3 linked regions of the Schizosaccharomyces pombe genome follow. The main gene of each other region encodes a partner of the protein of the gene in region 3 in a complex. Each region holds a gene or a part of one and is shown on either strand. Other genes may lie near its edges.

Region 1 (6,832 bases), 240 kb from region 3:
AATTAGCAAGTAGTAATAGGCATATCATCACACACCCACTTCGTAGATACGACATCTTCATTCAATTGACTGTTCTAAGTACCATAGCCGTTTCTACCTTATTAAGACAGAACTCTCAGACCAGATATATGATAGTGCATTGCATAACGTTATTTGGTTTAATGAAGTTTAACTACGACTTCGTAGATGAAAGGACGGTGCTTCGTAATGAAGATGACAGGAACACAAACAGAGTCAGAGAGAATACATGCAGATAGGAGCTGCGACAGAAGGCGTAGAAGCTGACTTGTCGGTGAATGCTGAGCCCGATGTGAAGCCTATAGCGAAAATGCTGTCAGCTTGTGTAGGAAGTGTAATTACAACGCTGACTGTAACGCCTTTAGATGTTGTGAAAACCCGCTTGCAGAGTGAATCTATTTCTCAATATTCTTCTACGCAACCCATTTCTTCAGCAAAGATATTGGGGAAGGGAAGGCCAGCTCCAAAGCCTTTAGGAGGCCCGGTATCCGGACTTTATCAGATCGCTCGGCATGAAGGTGTTAGAAGCTTGTGGCGTGGATTAGTTCCTTCATTGACAATGCTCTTGCCAGCAAACACTGTACAGTTTCTTGGGTATGAGCAATTACTTCCCTTATACAGTGATTGGGGCTTTCCTGCTGCTGCTGCAATCGCAGGAGCATCTGCGCGCACAATATCTGCTACTATTGTGTCTCCTATAGAATTATTCAGGACTCGAGTGCAAGCAGTAGGCGGCCATTATCCGCCCGGCCATGCGCGCGAGATTGCTAATGAGGTCTTTGATGGATTGAAATTAATGATTCATCAAAAAGGTATACTGAATTTATGGAGCGGTGTCAGCGTAACGTTGTGGAGAGATGTACCATTCAGTGCATTTTACTGGTGGTCGTATGAGAGAATTCGACTCTTCCTGCTTGGGCATCCATCACTTCAAGCATTTTCCAGCTCTCAATCTACAAAGGACCTCTATATCAATTTTGTGAGCGGAGGAATTAGTGGGACTCTAGCAACCCTATTAACTCAACCTTTCGATGTATCAAAAACTGCTAAGCAGGTGCATGGACATACGTTAACCAGAGGTCAGTTTATGTTAACCTTATGGAAGCGAGGTGGTCCCAAGGCCTTGTGGAAAGGCACGTTGCCTAGATGTGTTAAAGTTGCACCGTCCTGTGCAATCATGATTTCAAGTTATCATTTAACTAAAAAGTACTTTTCTGAGTCTGTTGATGCTTATTAATTTAGACGTTGATTTTCAGGTTTTGGTTGGCTTGATGAAACCTTTGTTCTTTTTTTTTCGGTTTAATGTTTTCATCTCTTTTCTTACAGGATTCCATTTATGTTGATAATTCCCCTCTCGCAACTCCATTTCTATTTGTAGTCTATATGTTTACTATAATACAGGATTCAAAAATGCAAATCGAAAGAGTCTTGAAAGTAAAATAGGTTGGGTTAATTTACGAAGCGTAGAAACTAAAAATTAATATTTTTTAATTTCTGATATTAGTCTCTAAAATAAAGCCATAGTAGAACAAGCTTGCTATGTTTTTACCAGACATTGAAGCTAATGCTTTCATTATATACCCATTGTTGTTCTTTTTAAAAGCTTTTTCAATGGTTGAGGATACATATATTTTATTCAATGTTTTTCTTTTCCGTTATTGAAAAGCAGAAACAGCTCGGGCCAAAAAGTTTAGATCTTTGAAGAAAGCGATTTTTAAAGTGGGAGCTTTTGTTATCCGTTTATTTTATATGAATTGACTAGACTAGAATCGTATATAACGAAATTATTTCTAAAATAAATATTGAAAGTGATAAAAAAAAGCCCTTTAACAAGATTTTTTTTAAGATACTAAGACAAAGCAAATTAAATATTTATTAGGTTTCATTCAACTGATCGGTGATATGAACTGTAACAGGGCAATGGTTACTTGTGTTTAAGCTTTTCTTCTTGAATTTACTGAGATAAGCAACAAGTAAGGACTTGCAGGAGACATTCTAAAATATCAATAAACAAATTCTTTATAGCTTCAATTGCGGTATAAATCAAATATTAGTAGCGTCGATCACCAACTTATCTGTCAGCGTACAGTGAGTACACTTTCGATAACACTTTACCTTTTCTATTACTCTTCAAAGACAATGGATAGTCGTTCATTAATAAAATCAAGCAAGAACACTACCCAAAAAGCGATTTACTATTAGAATTGAATTAGGCAGTGGAATGAACAACGCTATACTATTGCATATTCCGCACTTCAGCGCCTTAATGTTTAAACCATTTTACCGCTTTTCATTAAAGCTTGTTAAGTGTTCGCTTAACGCTCAATTTAGTATGAATATAGCAGGTGTCCTCCGCCAAAATTTTCTCTGCAAACCTGGGATGTCATTCCAAACGTTAGAGCGAGAAAGGACGTTTAAAAATCCGCCCAAGGACGGAACGAGCTTTCCAGATTTGCAAAAGGCCGTAAAACCTCATGTTGATTCCTTTAACGCCCTTACTAATGCCGGACTACTCAACTATGCTGTTAAGGAAATTGGTGAGAAATGTGCATTTGACTCGATCACACAAGAAGAAGGTGGTGCATTGAAATTTGGAAATAAGATTTCCTTCCGCGTTGATGAGGTTCAAATTGCGAAGCCAATGTTGTCTAGTCGTGAAAGGTCTTCTATTAACCGCAAAGTCTACCCTGCTGAAGCCAGAGAGCGTTTGACTACTTATAAATCAAGATTGGTTCTTAAATTCTCATGGAGTGTCAATGGAGGCCCTAGACAATCAGAAATGCGTGAAGTAGGCATGATTCCCATCATGGTACGGTCCAACAGATGTCATCTGGAAGGATTGTCTCCTGCCGAACTTATTGCTCATAAAGAGGAGAGCGAAGAGATGGGCGGTTACTTTATCGTTAACGGTATTGAGAAGTTGATTCGTATGTTAATTTTACCTAAGCGCAATCATCCTACTGCCATCATTCGCCCTTCTTTTGCCAATCGTGGTACTAGCTACTCACAGTATGGTTTATCTATTCGTTGTGTCCGTCCAGACCAGTCTAGTTTAACCAACACCCTTCATTATCTTAACAATGGTGTTACGATGTTTCGTTTTCACTGGCGTAAAAACGAATATTTAATTCCTTCGATGATGATTCTTAAGGCCCTGTTAGAAACCAGCGATAAAGAAATTTTTGAGGGCATTGTTGGTAAAGATTTGGGAAATACTTTCTTGACGGATCGTGTTGAGCTTATGCTTAGAGCTTATAAGTCCTATGGTCTTTACTCCCAAACTGAAACACTTCAGTATTTGGGTAGCAAATTTCGTGTTGTTCTCGGCGTTGCTGAAGACCTAACTGATGTTGAAGTTGGCCGCTTTCTCTTACAAAAGGTTGTTTTAGTTCACCTTCGTGAAGCTAAGGATAAATTCCGCCTTCTCCTATTTATGATCCGCAAGTTATATGCACTTGTAGCTGGAGAGTGCTGTGCCGATAACCCTGACTCTCCACAACATCAGGAAATTTTATTAGGTGGTTTTCTTTATGGTCAAATTCTTAAGGAGAAGATTGAGGATTGGCTAAATAGCATCCGCGCTCAAATTAATTTGGATGTTCGACGCTCAGCGCCTGGTGTTGATTTCTCCGATCGTAAATACTTGACCCGTGTCTTTTCTAAAATTAACAATGACATCGGAACGAAATTACAATATTTCTTGAGTACCGGTAACCTTGTTTCCAATACTGGTCTTGATTTACAACAAGCTACAGGTTACACTGTTGTCGCCGAGAAGTTGAACTTCTACCGCTTTCTTTCACATTTTCGAATGGTACACCGTGGTGCATTTTTTGCTGAGCTTAAAACTACTACTGTCCGTAAATTGCTTCCTGAAGCTTGGGGTTTCATGTGTCCAGTTCACACACCCGATGGTTCTCCATGTGGTCTTTTAAACCATTTGGCTAGAAAATGTGAAATTGTCACCCATCCTTCTGATGTAAGTCAAATCCCATCACTTTTGCTATCGTTGGGTGTTGATCCTCCAAGTGTAGTTGGTCATGAATCTGGTTGGGGATGCGTACAATTGGATGGAAAGATTGTTGGTTGGTGTACTTACAAACTTGCTAAGCACGTTGCTGATGTGCTACGTTTAATGAAAATTGAATATGCTGTCAAGTTGCGTAATGGAACTGCCACTGAACCTGCTAAGGTCCCTTTAGATTTGGAAATTGGATATGTGCCTCCGTCTCATAACGGGCAATATCCAGGTCTTTATCTGTTTAGCAATCCTGCAAGGATGGTTCGACCGGTTAAGCACATTTCTACTGGTGAACTTGATATGCTTGGTCCATTTGAGCAAGTTTACATGGATATTGCATGTTTCCCTAAAGAAATCGTTCCTAAAGTTTCTACTCATGTAGAGTATTCGCCCACAAATGTACTCTCCATCGTTGCCAATATGACTCCATTCTCAGACTTTAACCAGTCTCCTCGTAACATGTATCAATGTCAGATGGGTAAACAAACTATGGGTACGCCTGGTACGGCCCTTCGTTATCGTACTGACAACAAACTTTATCGTCTTCAAACAGGACAAACACCAGTTGTTCGTCCTAAGCTTCACAATACCTATGGCCTCGATCATTATCCAAATGGTACAAACGCTGTTGTTGCCGTTATCTCATACACTGGTTACGATATGGAAGATGCTATGATTTTGAATAAATCTGCTCATGAGCGTGGTTTTGGTTATGGTACTGTATATAAGGGTGAATCTTTTGACCTTTCCCAAAAGCGTCGCAGAGGTGAACCAGTCGTTCACCATTTTGGTTTTGCTCCCGGTTCAACGCCTCGTCGCGAATGGTTGCAAAAGTTAGACGCCGACGGGTTACCTTTTATTGGAATTAAACTTGAGGATGGAGATCCCATTGTCGCTTACTATGATGAATCTACTGGTCAAAATTTTATTGAAACCTATCACGGTACTGAGCCTGGTTTTGTTGACGAAGTTAGACTCCTTGGTAATGATGTTGGTGATTCCGAGTGTCAGCAAATTCATGTTAAGCTTCGTATTACCCGTAGTCCGATTATTGGTGACAAATTTTCCTCTAGACATGGACAAAAGGGTATTTGTTCACAAAAGTGGCCCACTGTCGATATGCCGTTTACAGAAAGCGGAATGCAACCTGATATCATTATTAATCCTCATGCGTTCCCCTCTCGTATGACAATTGGTATGTTTATTGAAAGTTTAGCTGGTAAAGCTGGCGCCTGCCATGGCTTGGCTCAAGACAGCACACCCTTTATCTATTCTGAGCAGCAAACTGCTGCTGACTACTTTGGCGAACAATTGGTTAAGGCTGGTTACAACTATCATGGAAACGAGCCTATGTATAGTGGTATCACAGGACAGGAGATGAAGGCTGATATTTATATTGGAGTTGTCTACTATCAACGTCTTCGCCATATGGTTAGTGATAAATTTCAAGTACGTACAACCGGACCCATTCATAATCTTACTCGTCAACCCGTCAAAGGTCGCAAACGTGCTGGTGGTATTCGTTTCGGTGAAATGGAACGTGATGCTGTTATCGGTCATGGCACATCGTTCTTGATGCAGGATCGTTTAATGAATTGTTCTGATTATGCCCAGAGCTGGGTTTGTCGAGATTGTGGGTCTATTATTTCTATCATGTCTACAATTTCGATGAATGGCGTAGGAAGTGCCTCAGAAGTCAGGTGCAGAAGCTGTGCCAAACCCGCTTTGGGATTGGAAGATACCAGTGACATTTGGCAGGATGGTAGCGGAAAGAAATTTGTCGGCGGCACAAATACTACGTTGATCGCATTACCCAGTGTTTTCAATTACTTGACGGCGGAACTTACTGCTATGAATATTAAAATGATGCTTGAAGTTAAATAGATTAAAGTGTTGAAAAGAGTATTGAAATTAATATATTCGCTTTCAACTTCTTTAAAAAAAATTTTTTTAAAAGGACTGACAAAATGCCATGGGTGATGTGTGTATTTTCAGTTCCATTTGATTCTGTTTTCTTTCGCAACAGGTTTCTGATTTTTGCTTCGGATTACGTTTTGCATATAAAATTACTTATTGTTTTGGGGGAAGAGTTAATAAAAAAACTTATATAGAAAACTATAAAGGTAGGTCTAGGTGGACTAATAATAAATTGATTGATTTTTATCTTTTTGATTAAGAAGCGGCTAAGACATAATTGACAAGAAAAAGTTTATTATTAGATGTCTTTTTGCTTTAAATTGTATTATATATTGGTTAATAGATACTTGATACCAAAGAGTGATCGAATGTTCAAAGAAGCAGATTAATCAGAGGTTGAGATCTGATGCAAATTCGTGAGCACACATTCGTATGGAGAAAAGAGAATTGATATCTTATAATTTTAAGAACAGCTCAACTACAGAAAATCTATGCACTCAATTATAAAAAATACCTATTCGCATGGTTCACATTTAAGAGCAGCATAATGACGAATTACAGAAACCCACGCTAAATTGTATTTTGTGCTTCATTATACTATATTAGATAACCGATATTTAGTATAGTGTGTAAGCTACGCAGTTTGGTATCTGATTTAAGGATACGTAGAACTGCGGTGAGTTTTCCTTGTGATCTATTATATTACAATACACAGGTTGTATGAGTAGCAACTGAGTATAGGTATTGTATTAACTGGGTTATAATGTTACCTATCACTAATATAGCTCATAACTGAACTGAGGAACGAGGTTCGGCTGTAACGCTATTTCGGCAACCGATATTAATAGACTTCATATAACAATAAATATACATTGT
Region 2 (3,583 bases), 2.2 Mb from region 3:
CAAATATAATGTTCCATTATTATGACGAAAACTTTTCTCATCTCCGAAGTATAAACCTACCTGGTCTTGAACTAGCAAAATTTCTTCTGAAGGATCCAAAACCGGTAGATTAGAAGGGGTTGTTTCTAAATAAAAGGCCATATTAGAAGGAGAGATTAACCAAAATGATAATTGTCAAGTGAATTAAAACTTATATAACATGTCATGTGCCTTGGTTAACTAGTCGAGACCAACAATTGATTTGAGATAATCTGTGAGTACGACTTTCGCTTTATTTAGCTACCTTTAAAAAAAATATTTTTGGATGACAGCTGTGAATGTCGATATATAAATAACATAAATGAAGCCTGTCAAAAGCTCGATTTAATATGTTACAATAAAAAAATCAAACCGTAGTCTTAATAAAAAACAACCCAAGGATCACAAACTAGCGATAAAAGATGCAACAGTGCCAGAATAACTTTTGTAAATGCAGTGAAATAAGTCGTGGAACGTTAAAAGGTCCCAGAAAAATAACTTGTCAAGATTTAACCTGAATTTGGAAAAAGCCTTTAAGGAATTAAAAGACTTTGATTTACAGATATAGACTTAGCAGTCAATATATAATGTCAACGAATTCATCAAAGATACACTGTATATTGAATTACCCACGAACTTTGATTGTCGAGCTCCAAAAATTGGATGCACTAGTGTATTGTGTTATTTAAAATAGTGAATCACTATATGCTTCGTATCTTTGACCAAGAGTTTACCTCTCAGCAGTAGTCATCGAAGCCATCATATTCCTATTTGCTCGAAAATGAGTGATTTTTATGTTCGATACTAGTATGCAAAAAAGCTGTAAATAGTTTTGAATGCTAACTGACTGAAGCTCGGGACACCATGGTCGATTCGGACACGAGTTCTTGGGTACGCGATAATATTAGACGCAAGGTCGCGCAGCTAACCAAACATTTGCTAGAATTCGATTATCATAGTGATGGGCTAGGTATGAATAGAGTCAACAATTTTCTGATTCATATTAGCAACAGTGGTTTGACATGAATACTAATTCAATTAGCTAGATACGCAAACAATTCTAACTATCGGAACGATTCGTTAATCCGAAAGGAGAGTATGTTTTAGTACTACATTTCTGTTCGATCGTATTAACAAAGCCTTAAAGTGTTCGTCAGTGAGCTTGTTTTAAAAGAAGTTCAACGTATTGTAGATGACAGTGAGATCATAAAGCAAGTCATTTCTTTCAATTTTTTATACTAACTACTATTTAGAGAATCAGATGAAAGTTGGCCACCTGAAAATAAAGATGGTAAGCAGGAACTTGAAATTCGTATGAATGGAAAACACATCATGTTTGAAGTAAGATTGCTCTTCATTTGGCATAAATATATTCATTCTAGATACTTTTAAGCTAATATAAACTACTAGACCTGTAAACTTGGAAGTTTGGCAGACGTTCAAAATAGTGATGATCCAGAAGGGCTAAAAGTTTTCTACTACCTAATTCAAGATTTAAAAGCATTGTGCTTTAGTCTCATCTCCCTAAATTTTAAGCTCCGACCTGTTAAAAACTAGATGCATTCCATTTTCTTATATATTAGGGCGAAAAAGTTTTATGTGAAACATTGGTTTACTATTTGGGTTTGATTACCTTTGTTTCGTTTCTAAATGTACAGTCTCAAAGCTGAAAAACGTTCGAGCTTTAGGAAGGAATTTCAGTTTTTATGCTAAATTAACCGTATTGCACTTTTAATTCCATATCATAAGCGGTTAAGAATTGACTATTTATTTGGGAACATCTTAGAATATGGCAACCATTCCATGGTAGTCGCGTTACAAAATCTTTTTTTCAATAAGATATCAAAAAAATCTTGAAATAATTTTAGCTATATTAAATAGACACTATTTGTATAGTAATGAGCGATTCACTTATTTTGTCTCAATAATATTCTTCATTTAAATAAGAGAAAAAAAAGGTAAAGTATTTCTTATTGTAATTAAAAAAAAAATTTCAATGTCTTGAGCACTGTAGTGACATGGTGTCATTTACAGAATTGGCATTTCTATTGATGCCATAGTATCGCCTATTTAGCTGTTAACCTTTCTCGAAGACATGATATGTTATATATGACCTTGGTTGATCAATTGAAGAGCTTTGTTTACCCTTGAACATATCTGTAAAACTGGATGCAGTCGATGAAGGAAATTTGCGTTCCGCCAACATGCCGGATTTATCACTCTACAAACAGACTGTAGATTTATACCTTTCCATTGCTCCTGGACACAGCAGGGATCCTTTAAATGCTATTCAGGAGCATATGGATAGTATGATTCTTAGCAAACTCCCAAGAATCAATGGAATAGTGTTGGCGTACGACAATATTCGATTCCTGGAAAAAAGTGCAAAGGTCATGTATGACTCCCCATTCTCCTTTATATGGGTCCGTGTAGACGTTTTAGTATTTTCTCCCAAAAAAGGCGATTGTTTAGGTATGAAATGCTTAGAAATTCGAGATTCTATGATGGATTTGTATCATGATAATTCAGTCGTGCAAAATTTTATACCAACTCCAAAATAAATGCTAACTATCACTAGAAGGAAAAATTAATTTAGTCAGTCCAAGTCATATTGGTCTATTAATTTTGGGTATTTTTAATGCATCTATTCCGCGAAAATCTATACCTAAAGATTGGATTTTTATTGAGCCCGATACTACGGAAGAACAAGGTCGTTGGAAGACAAATGATGGAAATATTCTGGAGCCTGGTAAAGATTTGGAGTTTGTAGTAGATGGGTATGTCGTAAACTATATACTGTTTTAACTAAAGTTTGATTAAATTATGACTAACAGTTAATCTAGTATACAAAGAGAAGCTGGGTTGACTATGGTTCAAGGGACGCTAGCAAATTCATAATAAGTATTTATATTCAAAATACAAAAGGATTGGTTACTTATGATTATGGATATTTGCCTAAGAAATTCCGGTTTATAGAATCGCGCTAAAACTAAACAGTAAGTTATTTTGAAGCGGTGTGTATGTACTTTCAATTGTATGATTTTATAAAAGTAGGCAATTGTTGATTTAAGCTTAAGGAATGAAATGAATGATAATTCATAGTTATCTTTTTTCTAGACTTTTGATTTCATCTAGTGATACTCTCATTTTCAATTTGTTGCATATAGACATTGAATGCTTTCCACAACCCAAGCGTTTGGAACTATTTATTTATAAATTCGACAGTTTAATATAACTTATGGACAGCCAGTTAGCCTGCAATTTATTGACAAAATAATTGGTTAAAATCTTCAAAAAGCACTATTTGATTTAATACGTCAGGTGAAGGATTAATATCTTCTTTAAATAAATCGAGATCTACTTATAACACATCAATGCTTAGACAAATAAGCTTAAGTTTTATTACCACGTTTGTTTTTCTGTATTTTAATAATAACATCAATAATAAAATTTTTTCAATTATCTCAAATTGATCATTAAGCAATATGAATTAATTTGATCACTTTAGAGTGCAATAAATAATTTCAGACAATTTAGATACGCTAATTAACACTGATCTCCGTAC
Region 3 (7,044 bases):
ATTGCAATGTAGGGAGTAAATATCGGAATATCGAATTTTATCGGATGGAGAAATGTACCAATCAAATCCATCTTTTAAAACGGCATCTTCCGGGTCGGTATCAAGCGAAGGTACTTTGTGTAAGAGAGCAATATCATCATTTCCACGAAGAGCATCTCGAGCTGCTACTAAATGCTTTTTGGAAGTAGACACCAACGCCTCGGGTACTCTATCTGGAACGGTTTTGTAAACCTAATGGTTAGAAATGATGAAAATAGACAAAAAAAGAAACCCTAAAAACCAAAGGTAGCCTTTCACAATAAAAACAATCAAACAAGTGGAAGGGATAAAAGAAAAAATGAAGGCTTTACGCAAGCGCCGTCTTCTTAAATCATTCATATCTTATTCCATCTTTTTACATTTATTTAATCCATGCTTCACAGGTTCATTCATGAGTAAAGTAAGTGGTTTCATACCCCATTAATCAAATCAAAGGTGATTTTCATAGCAATTGCAAATTCATCAAAATCAAACATTCCATCATCATCAATATCTATCCATATTCGTAACATTAGCACACGTTCGATTAAACGACTCAGACCGCAAACTCATGTTTTCCGTACCTGCTAAATCCCAAATTTTTTCCAATTTATCGCTTGAAAGCTTACTACTACGGAGGACTCCAGCAGCTTTGGATCCTGATAAATAGCCATTTTCTGGATTCAAGCCGCGAAAAATTTCCCAATACTTATTTTTCTCTTGGGGATCCATTATGTCGAGTTCTAGTAAATTTTAATACCCTAAAATATCTAATTCTCCTGAATCGTGTACGGCCAGTGGAAAAGTAAAAGAACTCAGTATATTGACCTTTCTTTTACCTTTTTCCAATGTTTGCTCATACTACGTGTCTTGTTTACGGTAAGCTCACAGACTACCGGATGTGATTCGGAAGTTGCGCGGCATTTCCCCGTTAAAATTACGAAACGCAATTAAGCACAACAATAATACTCTATCCTTAAATATCAAAGCCTAGCGCGCTGCATTTTTCAATGAATACCTGTAAAGAGTATGGTAAAATCGTTACCTCTGCCAACAACAATTTTTGCAGAGAAAAGAGGAAGAAATGCCAAAATCAAGGAGGTCGAAAGTTTTGACTCTCGCTCAAACTGAGAAAAAGGGTCATGAAGGAAAGGCTGCTCTTTTCTCTGGAGTACAGCAATCGCTGGATTCGTTTGACTATGTAAGTGAAAATGGGCTCGGTTGAGGAGTTGTAACAGAAATATCGTGCTGAAGGATTACAAAATGAGAAAAACGAGCATCATGGATTTAGATGCTTATTTTTAGTGATTGAATTGTCTATTTTTGTACGAAGGTGTTTCCAAATGCTTTGAAGTTGAAATTCAACAGTACAGCTTTTTAGATTATGAGTTCTCGTTGAGGTTTTAAAGTTATACTTTTTTTTCCAATTATCTACTTATTTATTAGCACTGCTAACAAATACCCATCTGTTTACACCTTCTACTCGATCGTATAAAATTTTAAATGGCTGTTTTACTAACTGTTTATTTTCAATAGATGTGGATTTTTGATGTCACTAATATGAGAAACACATATTTAAAACGTATCCGTGATGATTGGAAGGGTAGTCGTATTTTTATGGGAAAAACTAAGGTCATGGCAAAGGCGTTAGGACACACGCCTGAGGAAGAACATGCCGAGAACGTTAGCAAGCTTACAAAATTGCTTCATGGTGCCGTCGGCTTATTATTCACAAACTCTAAGCCCGATGAAGTTATTGGATACTTTGAATCCTTCGTCCAAAACGACTTTGCTCGCGCTGGCGCTGTTGCTCCTTTTACTCATGTTATTCCTGCTGGTCCTGTTTATTCTCGTGCTGGTCAAATTCCCGTCGAAGATGATATTTTGTTGACCCATACATTAGAGCCACAAGTTCGTCAACTTGGTATGCCTACTGTTTTGAAGAATGGTGTTGTGACGTTGTTAGCTGATTTCCCTCTTTGTACTGAAGGTCAACAACTGGACAGTCGTCAAACACGTTTGCTGAAGTTATTTGGAATCACGGCTGCTGAGTTTAAGGTTGGGCTTTTGGGCTATTATTCAAAGAAAGGTGCTTCTGTTGAGTTTCTTCAATCCGCACCTGGTGCAGACGAAGCCATGGAGTAAAATGTATATTACAGTTAAATGGACACATCGCGTGCACTATTGCATTATCAAAGTTTTTTGCTTTTTATTTTCGGATAAAATAAAATGAAAAGAAGGGTTACTAGATTAGTGAAAGCCCTGTGTTACCGTGCTTGCATAGTTGACGGACTTTGGATTTAAAACAATGGTTTTTTGTTCATGCTCTGATAAATTTACATAGAGATATGTACTCTTTCTTTTCTTTTACTTACTTTTGGGGGATTATTGGTTATTTCTTTTCCATAGCGGATGAAAATATATGAATAATATTTTTATACACTTTAAAATGAGTCATGTAGCACGTTGACATGGTAAAGTTAGTTTGCTAGTTTCACTTTCGCTGTGAAGGCCCTAAAAGTTGATTTCCAAACTCCAATTGTTGCTTTCGTAACGTACGAAAGAATGGAAACAACGAAACTGATTGTTCTTTTGACCGTCGATATGCCGCATTTTGTACTTTAAGGTAAAATCGATATAATTAGTTTTAAATGTTTTAAATTTTATGGAATCATTTTAGTAGCTATCCAAATTATTTCTAAAACTTTTTAAAATGTATAATTCACGTTACACAATTACATTTTAAAATTGTGTCGCGCTTCACACTTCCTTTCCACCAACATTCACAATGACAGCATATGCAGCAATTATAGGAACGAAAGATAATCCCGTTTATGAATTAGAGATGGGGCCTATAAATGAAAAACTAGACAGGGTATGTCACATAATACTATTGATTTAGAACGCTAATATCTGAATTAGTCTTTAAATTCTCATCTTAATCAATTTATCGTTCATTCGAGTTTAGACATTGTGGATCAGCTACAATGGACTAGCAATGCCTTGTACGTTTTGTGATTTCTTTTGTTTCTTGCAGTCATTGCTAATACTCTGTTTTTGTATAGTTATATGAAAACCATCGATCAATTTCACGAAATGTATATATCTGCTTACGTTACGCCATCTAGTAAGTGTTTTGTTCCCTTTAAATATCTGGGGTGACTTTTGGACAACTACTAATGTTCATTATTTTTAGATATGAGGTTTATGCTTCTTCACCAAAACCAAAGTGCTGACAACATTAAACTGTTTTTCCAAGAGCTCCACGAATTATACATCAAAACTCTAATGAGTCCTTTCTATCAACCTAACCAACCTATTCGTTCTCAGGCTTTTGATTTAAAGGTCCGTTCAATTGCTAGAAGGTATCTGTGATGAAAAGGTGTTGGTTGATTTCTTCCTCACGTTCTTTCTCTCCAAAAAGCATTTATCTTTCTCTTGCCTTTTTATTTGTAAGAGTGAGGCATCTACAATGCCTATGCTGGCCGAGGTTGATAATTGTTCAATTTCCACATACATGAGGCATTGAAGAGGAAATGTTTGCAGATATGTATTTTTTTTTCAGTTTTAAATTTTGACTCATTGTGTTTACACTCTGTATACAACATATATATACGTCGTTCTTTAGTTATGTGTACCTCACTTCTTCCTACAATTGATATCCATTTTACATAAACACAAAATAATACTACATCCTTTAAGCAACTGGTCGCGTCAAGCTGCGACCGTTCTTAGTAGTCCGATCCTTACAGAAGCAATTGTCAGACAACTTAAAAAAAAAAAAAAAAAATCCCTATCTACTAGATAAAGAAAGATGTTGGGAATATTAATTTCTAGAAAAACAACATTTTTTAAGCCGAAAAAATAAAGTAGTGAACCGATTGCTCCATTTTAACTTTTTTCTTTACCTAAGAAGTAGAGTTCTTGCTATAACCACATACTTTTTATTTTTTGTTTCATCACATAAAAGTTCCTTTAATATGAATACTACCTTGTGCATCGTTATCCAGCTCGATGATACCTACGTTGTGACCCACAAGCTCACCAGAGCAAAATACAGGTACGCTTGCAAAATTTCACTTTAAATTCTACTGGGGCGTAGATATGGCAAAATCAAGTGAATTTGTAAACGAGGAAAGTTCAGAAGATGAATCTAGCGTTTCTAGCATAGAGGATCAGCATTCGTCGAAAGAACCTGAACAATCCGTGGAGAGCAACAATCACGGCGAATCGAACGCACAAGAAGATGTTGCAGAAATTGCTGGTTTAGAGAAAGTGCAAGGAAAGCCTGTTTTGACCACTAATGACTTGAAAAAGGAGTCCAATGTTTTTTTAGTACGACTTCCGCCTGGCATGTCCGCTGACCAAATAAGTCAGCTAAAGGTAGGCTCCAAACCTACAGTAGAATTAAAGCAGGAGAACGAAAACACCTATCAAATCCGAGAAGAATCAACAAGCTCCGTACGTGTGTTTTTACCTGACGAGCAAGGTTCCTATACGTCAAATGAAATCAAAACTGGATATGTGATTACAGAGACCCCCAAAATTTCACAAAACATTGATACTGGTATTACAATACCTACGCAGGCACCACTTGTTCCTCAAAGAAAGAATCTGAGACAGCATTTTCGCCCGATTGGAGATGCTGTAGGGCCTGAATCGGAACCTGAAGCTGAACCCAAGTCTGGCATCAAAGAACATATTTTACAAGAGACTGGTGATGCTACAGTAGAGGAATTACAAAATAAAGGGAAGGAAAAGCAAAAGGAATTGAAAAAGGGAAAAAGGGAAAAGAAGGATGAGGAAGAAAAACCTAAGAAGAAAAAGCAAAAGAAATCCAGCAAAAAGGAAAAAAATTAGATTGCTTGAATTAGTGTAATATTATCACCTTTTAATAGAATTCTACCTAAGCAATGTTAGCAATTGGTTTGGGAAATTGTTAAATATTTTAGAACAAAAATCTGCATCAACGGTTTGTTTTAGAATTTGTAAGGTTGCTGGAAACGCAATTTGGTAAATCAGCTTAAGACATGCATCTATTATTATTTTTGCTTCATGTAAAGACTTTTGAATAAAATCCCACCGAACATTCTTTCACATAAACCAAGGTTTTATTCGTCTAAAATCAGGCTTACCTAACTCCCTTTTATTATTTTTAGCATCTACTTGCACAGCATCGTCAAGCACAATGTTCATAAATTCGTCGAAGCCCTGTCATATATCGTTAGCAATTCATCAACTTGTCGTAGGGAAAATGAAGGTATTTCAAAATCCTAGGCCAACGACTATGAAGGGATTTTCCATAAAGTAAATTTCTTACCCTAATTTGTCCCTGAAGTCTTATATCTGTTTGTTCAAACAGCCAAATTGAAACAGGAGTATGTTGTTGCAACAATTTGAAAATGAAATTCTGCGTAAGTTAGCTATCCAACAACAATTAACCATACAATAGGAGGTATCATAACTTTTTGCACGCGTCCTGACATCTTGAAAACTTATTTTATCAAAAAACGAAATTCTATAGATGGTTGTGCAATGGTGCAGTTGGCGGCCTGTCAGCACTGACTTAGTGGATATTTAGCCAAGACCAAAAACCTCTTCAATAAATTTGTACCACATGGATCAATGTTTATCGATCCTTTATTTTTTTTTTATTTTTTTTAGATATGTAATTTGATCTTCAATAAGCTGTTTTAATTTTTTATCGACTTTCATACATACAAAAGTGTAGGTTGCTAAACTTCAATCAAAGCAGCCAAGATTGTATTGTTATTTTTATTAGACAATTTATGGACAATTCACTTGTTTAAATGATTGAGAAAAGCAAGAAATGTACTTTAGCGTGAGTAGCTACTCAGTAAAAAATGACATTAAAAAAAAACAATAAACAAGTTATCAAAGTTCAGCAAAAATTACATTAATTTAGACGATTAATATCCATAGATTCAAAAAGATTTGACAATAGAAATGAAGAAGACTGTAATGAAAATAGCCAAAATCTGATAAATATTTGGAAATCAGAATCCTTGAACAGCTCTAAATTAGGTTCTACCAGCTGCATCAAACGGATGTTTCATACATTAGATATTATATAATCCATATGTTTGCCAGTATTATTAGGAAACAGACTACTATGCGCTTTACATTGTATTTCGGATATATAAAATATAGCACGCGAAACTACTTTATGTGGCTAGAATTATATTATTATGGTAGCTATGTAAATAGCAATTGGAATACCTAAGCAAATTTTATTTTCTAACATTTGAAGTTTTTACTCTACCAAATGTATTAAAATTAAAAATCAACGTTATACTGAGACATAATGCCTTGAATGCTATTTATTATAATGATCATGGAAAACCTCCCGAATACTGTAATAAAGAGGTATAAGTTACTTGTTCCTTAAATAGGTCTTTTACTGCTACTACAGGTCTGAACCGAAACAAAAACACACGCTGCCAGTGCGTAAAGCAATCAATCTAAGTGATTTTTATGCCCTCATGGAAACGTTGTTAAGTGCTTTGGCTACTTTGTATGCCAACACTGATCGTGAGCAGAAACTTCAAGCAAACAACTACTTAGAAGAGTTTCAGAAAAGTGTAAGTCAGTCAGAGATTTGAACTGGATGATGTTAACCTGCATATTTTTAGCCTGCTGCATGGCAAATATGTTTTTCAATTTTGAATCAAGATGACAGCAGCATTGAAGCAAAGTTATTTGCCGCACAAACTTTGCGCCAAAAAATTGTATACGATTTTCATCAGCTACCTAAGGAAACACATATTGAATTTCGTAATTCCTTGCTACAGTTATTTTTAGCAGCTAAAGATAGTCCAAGACCTTTATTGGTATCATTGGCTGTTTGTATGGCTGCAATTGCTTTACATATGACTGAATGGCATAATGTTATAGCCGATGTTTTTCAAGCCTGTAGCTCCAAAGACCCCAGTGGAAGATGTGTTTTACAGTTTTTATCAGTACTCCCTGAAGAAGCTAGTGATCCAAGGAAAACTTCATTGAGTT

Evidence for each region. Proteins that work in one complex are often made in the same cells at the same time.
Region 1: rpa34 (region 3) and rpa2 share a complex: the UniProt entries of both Schizosaccharomyces pombe proteins name them as parts of the RNA polymerase I (Pol I) complex.
Region 2: rpa34 (region 3) and rpa43 share a complex: the UniProt entries of both Schizosaccharomyces pombe proteins name them as parts of the RNA polymerase I (Pol I) complex.

What each region holds. Positions count from the first base shown.
Region 1 is NC_003423.3:2,005,721-2,012,552, forward strand, and holds rpa2 (DNA-directed RNA polymerase I complex subunit Rpa2), read left to right. Parts: upstream 1-2,365; 5' UTR 2,366-2,398; coding exon 2,399-5,923; 3' UTR 5,924-6,235; downstream 6,236-6,832. Other genes in the region: SPOM_SPBP23A10.17 (uncharacterized protein), read right to left, coding at 36-61; mtm1 (Mn(2+) ion transporter), read left to right, coding at 248-1,255. UniProt on the Schizosaccharomyces pombe protein: DNA-dependent RNA polymerase catalyzes the transcription of DNA into RNA using the four ribonucleoside triphosphates as substrates. Second largest core component of RNA polymerase I which synthesizes ribosomal RNA precursors.
Region 2 is NC_003423.3:3,999,870-4,003,452, reverse strand, and holds rpa43 (DNA-directed RNA polymerase I complex subunit Rpa43), read left to right. Parts: upstream 1-2,209; 5' UTR 2,210-2,222; coding exon 2,223-2,490; exon of another isoform or gene 2,491-2,596; coding exon 2,597-2,795; exon of another isoform or gene 2,796-2,861; coding exon 2,862-2,916; 3' UTR 2,917-2,986; downstream 2,987-3,583. Other genes in the region: ESCRT II complex subunit Vps36, read right to left, coding at 1-141; mnh1 (protein mago nashi), read left to right, coding at 800-825, 872-909, 962-988, 1,061-1,114, 1,166-1,229, 1,272-1,359, 1,429-1,575. UniProt on the Schizosaccharomyces pombe protein: DNA-dependent RNA polymerase catalyzes the transcription of DNA into RNA using the four ribonucleoside triphosphates as substrates. Component of RNA polymerase I which synthesizes ribosomal RNA precursors.
Region 3 is NC_003423.3:1,759,630-1,766,673, forward strand, and holds rpa34 (DNA-directed RNA polymerase I complex subunit Rpa34), read left to right. Parts: upstream 1-4,064; 5' UTR 4,065-4,122; coding exon 4,123-4,878; coding exon of another isoform or gene 4,879-4,924; 3' UTR 4,925-4,991; downstream 4,992-7,044. Other genes in the region: actin cortical patch component End3, read right to left, coding at 1-231, 456-532, 603-750; mRNA turnover and ribosome assembly protein Mrt4, read left to right, coding at 1,103-1,219, 1,555-2,163; TRAPP complex subunit Trs20, read left to right, coding at 2,807-2,893, 2,941-3,023, 3,084-3,145, 3,215-3,393; Sm snRNP core protein Sme1, read right to left, coding at 4,875-4,924, 5,154-5,229, 5,339-5,428, 5,466-5,504; karyopherin Mtr10, read left to right, coding at 6,522-6,620, 6,672-7,044. UniProt on the Schizosaccharomyces pombe protein: DNA-dependent RNA polymerase catalyzes the transcription of DNA into RNA using the four ribonucleoside triphosphates as substrates. Component of RNA polymerase I which synthesizes ribosomal RNA precursors.